2 linked regions of the Caenorhabditis elegans genome follow. The protein of the gene in region 2 purifies or fractionates together with the protein of the main gene of each other region. This does not show direct contact. Each region holds a gene or a part of one and is shown on either strand. Other genes may lie near its edges. The genes, in order: T14B4.3 and F37A4.5.

Region 1 (3,832 bases), on a different chromosome or scaffold from region 2:
TGGTCGAATTGGTTTGAGCGGGTCGAACAATTTCGGGTCTCTGGTGTACTTTGGATCCTTTACGAAGATTGGCATGAACCCGGCACGACGCGATTTCTGAATAAAGAATATCGTTTATCTAACTCTATTCCAGTTCATCATACCGCGATTGCTTCAATCAGCTTCTTCTTGTTCTCGTCGCAAAGTCCAGTGATGTGACGATCGTATACACGCCCAGAGAATGTGGAAACAAATTGCTGAAAAAAAGAATTGGATTTTACCGAGCTCCAGTTTAAAACATTTCGTACCTGCAAAAGTCTCGAATTTTTGTAATCGAGTTCAACACCAGTTGAGCACAAGAGGCACTTCCGTGGCTCTTTTGTGTATGGATTATTCTCCAAAATTACGGGCTCATCGTCAGAGCTAACCGAAGGAGATCCCTGCGTGGTTGAACTGGAGCTACATAACCTGAATGTCTGCGGCCTTATGAAACTTCGCACCAACGATGACGCCGATTTTAGCATTCTGAATTGATACTGTTGGATTGCATTGATAAATTTAAAAATGAGATATCTTAAGGTTTAGAACCTGATACACTGATAGTGTTTCAAATGCATAAAGCTGAAGTCTTTATGACATGGCAACAAATACCGGAAAGCGATTAGTCAAAAATGCAAAAAAAAGAACCGTAAAGCCGTAAAGCGAAATAAATTATGAAAATACAGTTTTTACAATCATTTATAAATCTAATTCTAATCTTTCTTCTGTCTACCCATCGATAGTCGAACCAGGATCGTTTTCTTGGCCATATCACTTTCATCAAACATCAACCACAACATCGCAACTGCCGCCTGAAGTTAATTTTTTATTAGAAAGAATGAATTAACATGGGACTTACGAAGACAAGGGAGAATCCCACAAACATCATAATGGCCGCACTTGCCGGATAATCGATATATCTAGCTTGAGTCACTTGCAATACTTTTTGTAACAGCTTAATTCTAGCCTTCTCATCTCTATCAGGCTTCTCGTGAGTATAGATTTCAGCCACCACATTCCCGCCATAACTGTTCTTGATAGCATCTTGTAATGTATCAATACCTCGCTTGATATTTTCTGCCAATTGTTTTCTTTCCATATCTGTTCGCGCATTGGAGACGTCAAGGTGAACACGGTAGTAGTCAACAACATTGGCATTTTTTCGATCTTTCTCCATGATTGCATCCGAAAGTCGATACATATTTTGAAGATCCTCCTTATAAGTATCGTAATTAGCATGGTTTCCCTCAGTATTTCTTTTAAACAACGATGATCCAAATATTCCAGAGGAGTTTACTTCGGCGTGAATCATATCATCACCAAACTGTTGTTTGAAATGTTCTTGAATTTGATTTGGCTGGAATTTATCCGTAAAATTGAAAGCATGTCCGTCATAATCAAAGTTTTCCAGTCCGTCAATAACGATTATCAACAACGCCTTCGGTTTTTGGAACAATTTTTCATCGCCGATCGCCTGATGAGCTGAAATAAGGCAATAAAACATTTTATATTAATAAAATGTTACCTACCTCCAACTGCAGCACCAAGTCCAAAAGCATTCTTGTTGAAATTTAATAATGAAACTGAATCGAAAGACGAATTTCTCGAATCAAGTATGTGGTCGTTTGGCAAAATGATTTGAAGACGCCCGGCAAGGCAAACTGAAATTGAAGTTTTTTGCAAAAAATAAATAAGAAATTACCTTGTAAAAATGATAAAATCCATATAAAACTTCGCATTTTTGGCTTGAAAAGAAGCAAAAATGAGAAATAAAAAACTCACAATTTTTCTGTAACAATGGAGCGCGTTTGCTTTTCTCGTTGAGACACCACAAACCAAGAGAACTTGAAACTCCGTGGAAGTTGATTTCATCAGCATTGGTTACTGTATTTTTTTGCCAAAACTTTTATTGATAAAGTTTTCATCTATGTATACAAAAATATTAAAGGCAGATATTTATTGGGTTTTGAAGAAAACTGTCAAATTTTTTGGTTCCGCGCGCAGAAATGATAATGAAATTGAATTTTGAAGTATATTTTTGCTTAAAAAATTAATACATATCTTTTTTTAATTTTATTCACTGATTGTGATAAAAATAACTTGTAGCAATGAATATTTTCCTTCAAAACGAACATGCAATAAATTTCCTTCACTTGCTTGTTGATAAAAAGGGTGGGTCAATCCAATATGATAGGGTTATCTTCTCAGTTTGTTCCGGTACAAATTGTTATCCAATCAAACTATATTGTCTGTTGAACCTATTGCACAATTGATGCGGCTATTGAAAAGGTGACTTTTTGAAAAAAATTGAATTAAACGGAGGGAAGTAAAATCTTAGATAAATATAAGGATGAATACCTTTTAGTTTCCTTATTAAGAATTACCAGTTTTATAGTTCAAGGCTATTCGATTTACTGGTAACTACCAATTTGATAGATAGATAAAAGATGAGAAGATTCAAAACTATTTCCTCGATTCTAAATATTACAAATAGATTTATGAAAAATGTAACTTTAAACAAGGAATAATGCCTTCACAAATAGGAAAATGAGAGCAATTTTTTATTTTTTCCAGAATTCAAAAACGGTAATTGTTTAGTTTGTTTTCTGCAATGCGAAGGTATCCATTTAAACAAATTACCATCTGTAAATATGACTGTACTTTTCTCGATCAAACAACAAAAAAAAACAATTTTAACAAACAAAAATAAATATTTGAATACTAATTTATAACCCTCAAGAACCCTCAACTTTTGAAGATCAAAAAAAGAAAGTGTGAGACCCAAGTGGATGTAAATGTTTTGAAATGAATGAAATGTTTGGATTCTTTCCAATGTCTGCTCTGGTTCTTCATTCTTTCTCTTTTCATTTCCATCTGTCATCCATTCTTTTCCGTTTTCTCCAAAATGTGCTCCAAATACTCCAGGACCTTCTTCTTCTTATTACTCACAATGCTTGTTTGTACAATTGTGATCTTTTCAATGGCACCTAGAATAACAATGAGTTTTTGGACTTCAAAGGAAACTAATATATTATGGAGACGCAAAGAGACAGCTCATTTGGATTGTGGAAGAATTTTGGCAAATGATAGAGTTAGTAATTTTAAATATTTAAATGTTTAAAAAATAACCCAAAAACATAAAATTTCAGTCTTATATCGAAAAGTTTATTGGTGAGCATCGAATACCCCTGAGCTCAAATTTGGAGAGTTTAGATATGTCATGTTATTCAATTCAAAATCGAATTATTCCATTCAATTTTCATTTGAGGCCGTTGAAAATTGGTGTTGTATTTGCACGAGTTGTCTATAAAGACTATGAATTTTTGGAGAAACAAGTACAAATGTCATATCATCCACAGAATATATTTTGCTTTTTCATTGATTCAAAAAGCAAAGATGATTTTAAATGGAGAATTAGGAGACTTGGTAGATGTCTTCCAAATGTATTTGTAATAGATGGTATACTGATTGAATATATGTATAATTTAAATTAACTAGAGTTTCAGAAGAACTTCGAATAGATTCAGCGGGTCATAATATGAATTTAGCACACTACAAATGCATGGAGAAGATGGTAAAATTACCGGATTGGGATTATTTTATACTGATGCAAGTGGGGAAAACTTTTATTAATAATTGTAAAAATGCAATGTTTTTAGAATCATGACGTCGTTGGAAAATCAGTTTATGAAATATCTAGAATATTTGAGATTCTTGATGGTGCCAACGATATTGATATTGACAAGGAATTCGGGAGAATAGATGAAAGTTTGAAGTGGGATTTGAAAACGTTGAGATTATTTCGAGATGGTTT
Region 2 (4,067 bases):
TATAGCGTGACAAAGCTTCATGCGAATCTCTTATTTATTTCCTTCCTAGTACACGTCTCACTTTGAATACCGACACTGAAGCACATTTTGCCAAATCATGCTGAAACTGGTTTGGTATAACTTACGGATCTCCTCGGATGCTTTCTGTGAAGCTGTTGAAAATCTGAATTGATTGTGAAGTCTAAATGTAGCAAAAACAAGAGAACAAGGTTAGTAGGTTATTGGAACACGTAAATGGTAACCTCGGAAGGAAGTTCTATATTTTTCACGGGTTTTATGTTTTGTTTTTGATAAGAACTTTATCTATGAAAGTGCCCATTCTTTGCAGTAGGCACAAAAATTCCTGACTTCCGTCAAGGCTACGTATGCCTACCTGCCTACCACACAAACAGGTTCTTCAAATGTGTAATTGCACTGCCAACAAACTATACAATTAATATCTGTACTGGGCGAACATGGAACACCGAAATTCAGCTGAATCGAGAAAATAGGTAGTAAGTAGGCAGATGAGGAGGGCAGTCAGATAAGATCTGTACAATGATTCTATTTATTGATTTGAATGTGATATGGAAATGGGAAGAACGTCATTCAGAAACACAATTTAAATTGTTGCTAGTTCATGTCATTGATTTTGCGTTGATCATTGCAGTAAGCTGATGGCAGAGGGAATCGTTGAGAAGGCTAGAAGTGATCTGAAATTAAAACATTTTTTCACTGTACGTTTATTCGATTTTTACCATTTGCAATTGCTGTTTTGCATTGATTTTTCCAAACTTTTTGACTTCTTCTTGAGTCTTTCCTTTCTTATCTGCAATTGGTTTCTCCTTAACTTCGTCAATATCCTTATTGAAGACTGCAATCAGTTTGTTGATGCTCTTGAACTTCTCCTCCTGCTTCTTCTCAAGCTCCGAGTAAGTTGACATATTCAATTGATCATACCAACTCTTCTTATTCAAACACATCAACATCTTCTGCTCATTCGACCCCATGCGATAGGCGACATTCAACGAATAGTACTTGGTGCCAAGACCATGAACAACAGAGATTAGCGATGGCTTAGTGAGATGTCCAAGATTGGAAGTAGTCTGTCGTGGTTCAGCAGTTGGAGCGAGAGGACGAATTTGCAAGTTGAGTGGGTTTACAGATCGGAATGCGTCCAGCATAACTTTCCCCTTCACACTCTGAATCGGATCAACGACAACTGCAACAGCACGGGGATGGAGAGCTTCGAAAGACTGTTGAGTGTTTACGTCCACAGAAGATAGCCAGCATCCGAATCCTGGATGCGAATGGTACCTGAAAGTTGTTATATAATTTCAATAGAGGCTTTGATTATAAAAACTGAAAACTATATCTGCTGCGTCGTAGATTCTAAAAGATTGCCTATATTCTTGGGTCCCCTTTACTCACCATCCAACAACATTTTCAGTTCTTCCAACCAATTTCAGCAAGTCCATATGCTTTGTCTGATACACAGGATCCACCGATTCCACGGTCACACTGGTTCCACTCTGCGGCATTGCAAAAACGTCCGTAACATTGATAGTGTAGTCGTCCACAAAGTCTCCGAGCATCAGACCCATCACCTCCAACGGGATTCCAGAACGAGCATGGCGCAGCATTTTCAGCAAAGCCAACGAGGAAATGTTCACTCTGAAATTTCAACAAATTCTGGAATCCATAAAAAATTTAAACTTACGTTTCAGAAGTGTCCGGATGATCAAGTTTATCAGTTGCCTGCTTGTTCTGATTCATCAACAACGAACGGATAAGACGATCCATTTTTTTCAGAAATTTCTATTCTATTGAGCACGAACAAAAAAATCGAAAGCAACATGCGAAGCAGAATATGTTAATAAAAGAGTTTCGGAAGAAGTCTCGGCGTTGCCACGTGGATGACGTGGGTCGGAAGAGTGTGTGGCAAAGGTCACGCGAGAACTATTTTCCGCGTGAAATGTTTTTTGTTGTGTTTTTGAGAAGCATGAAATTCTTACACAGGAGAATTTTCAGTTAATTTATTTTACAAAAAAACAAAGCAAGTAACAATTATTAAAAAAAATAAACAAATCAACATCGTTCCAAGATCCCAACGTCTCCAATCCACTTCCCGTCATCTAGCTTAACAAGAAGACTAGTCTTAAGACTTACACAGTCTACTCCAGTGACCACATGCTTTCCAACGAATGTGAGTACATTCACTGACATGATAATCAAAGTATTATAGGTCATAACAATAAGAGAAAAGTTCAAAAGTTCTAGAAGAATTAATGTAATTTCTCTCAACTTTTGTTGGTTTGGATTTTCAAATACTTTCATAGGAAAGAAGAAAATGAATATGACGAGAAACGTGTAGAACGCAGTAATTAGAGTTGATTTCGAGAAGGCCAATGAATTAGAAAAACGCCTATCTGTTGAAACTGAGAGTTGGAGGTTATGATGAGGCTGGAGAATTCCCAAAGCTGTAGTGTAGGAGAGTATTGATAATGGATACAAGGTACAAAGCAGGTAGATCTGAAAATAATTATTGATAGTAGGTCACAAGCTTCCAAATTCTCTCTCGTTTGAAAATGAATGGCCGTAAAAAGCGTCGAAGACGGCCATGTGTAGATTTTAAGAACTTTAGGCAAAACCCTTCTGAAAAGTGCATGAAACTATAATAGGGTACTTTGATTTTTGGCTTACCGCACTATAATTAAGAAATAAATTATGATTTTAATTCAAAACTCAAAAAGAATTCTCAAAAGTAGTGAAAATGAGGAGTTTAGACCACAAATTCTCAACAAAAAGTATAACTTCTCCTCGAGGAGTACACAGCCTGCGTAAATCGACATATAGCCTTGTTGAAGGTTCAAACGCTTTCTAGGGATGTATATCAAACAAAACAATTATTCTGACTCACAGATTTATAAAAAGTTGTGCTCACCACCACAAAAATAATTACTAAATTTACAATTACTGCTCCCACGTGACTTGCGATAAACTTCCATGGTTTTTGTCTAATTTTTGTCAATCCAAAATGAACAAGGCAGTGTGGAATGTAAAAAGGAACAAAATGAAGTAGAAAGTATATCGGAATTAGATATGTTGGAACAATTTTCTTTAATTCAAAAATGTCATAGGATAAAAATGCGGTGAGCAATGCTTATTATTATCTGTTATTATTATCTGTTATGCTCACTGAGCATAACAGATAATAAGGCGCAAAATAGTGGAAGCCGATGGAAACATCGTTGACGAAGTGTGGCAGCCATTTTTGAATTTGTAAATATTGTTCTTCTGCGAATTAAGTGAGGGGCTGACATTTATCGATTGACTTTCTGATTTATCGATTTACAATTCAAAGCATCCTTCTTTTTCTCATAGATTTGAAATACGGGGTCAGCATAAAGAAACAGCTTGTTTTTGTACAACTTTTTATTCTCGAATAAAACTTTTCAATGAGTTCTTTAAACTGATTACTGTAGAAATCCGGCAAGCATCTATTTTTAAAATTCGCGCGCATTTATTAGTTTTCTGTGTATTTGCGCGTCGCCGTGTCTGCGTATCCACTGAGAACCGCGAAAATGCTGTTCAATTTCTGGTTGCCTCATTTTCGCGCGCTGGTTACCTTTTTCACACGTTTTTGTTAGAATTATCGGTTTGTTCGATTATAAATGTTTTCTTTATCAAACCTGTAAACGCCCGAGGTAATTTGTACAGTTGTTAATTGGTGATTGTCACAGAAAATGTCGGTTCACGAGTCTTCGAACGAAATAAATGACGAGCCTATGGACACCGATTCCAACATCCCGGAGGTAAATAATTTTTTGATGTACATAGGTTTTGCGTTTTATTAAAGATATTTTTTACATTCTTCACATAAAACAATACATTACATTCTACGTTTCAGTCTTCCGGGAACGATCCCTCAATGGAAGTGGACGATGAACCGGAATCGTCCGACGCCGCCGATTCCTTCAAGAGATTTGAAAGATTGTTACAAAAAACGGAAAACTTCTCACATTGTTTATCATCTGGAGATGCGAAATGTATTGGTCCATGTTTAAGCCGCAAAAATCTTATAAAGA

What was found.
Region 1: the proteins of F37A4.5 (region 2) and T14B4.3 fractionate together in Caenorhabditis elegans (co-fractionation; one large-scale study listed by BioGRID). This does not show direct contact.

The regions. Positions count from the first base shown.
Region 1 is NC_003280.10:6,732,875-6,736,706, reverse strand, and holds T14B4.3 (VWFA domain-containing protein), read right to left. Parts: upstream 1,771-3,832; 5' UTR 1,758-1,770; coding exon 1,721-1,757; intron 1,680-1,720; coding exon 1,548-1,679; intron 1,501-1,547; coding exon 878-1,500; intron 831-877; coding exon 732-830; 3' UTR 597-731; downstream 1-596. Other genes in the region: mrps-18.C (28S ribosomal protein S18c, mitochondrial), read right to left, coding at 1-96, 144-236, 288-503; T14B4.9 (Core-2/I-Branching enzyme), read left to right, coding at 2,924-3,109, 3,168-3,477, 3,525-3,631, 3,678-3,828.
Region 2 is NC_003281.10:6,709,659-6,713,725, reverse strand, and holds F37A4.5 (Mov34/MPN/PAD-1 family protein), read right to left. Parts: upstream 1,858-4,067; 5' UTR 1,783-1,857; coding exon 1,700-1,782; intron 1,654-1,699; coding exon 1,411-1,653; intron 1,297-1,410; coding exon 738-1,296; intron 693-737; coding exon 618-692; 3' UTR 535-617; downstream 1-534. Other genes in the region: Ankyrin repeat-containing protein F37A4.4, read right to left, coding at 1-21; Chromatin-remodeling complex ATPase chain isw-1, read left to right, coding at 3,726-3,794, 3,890-4,028.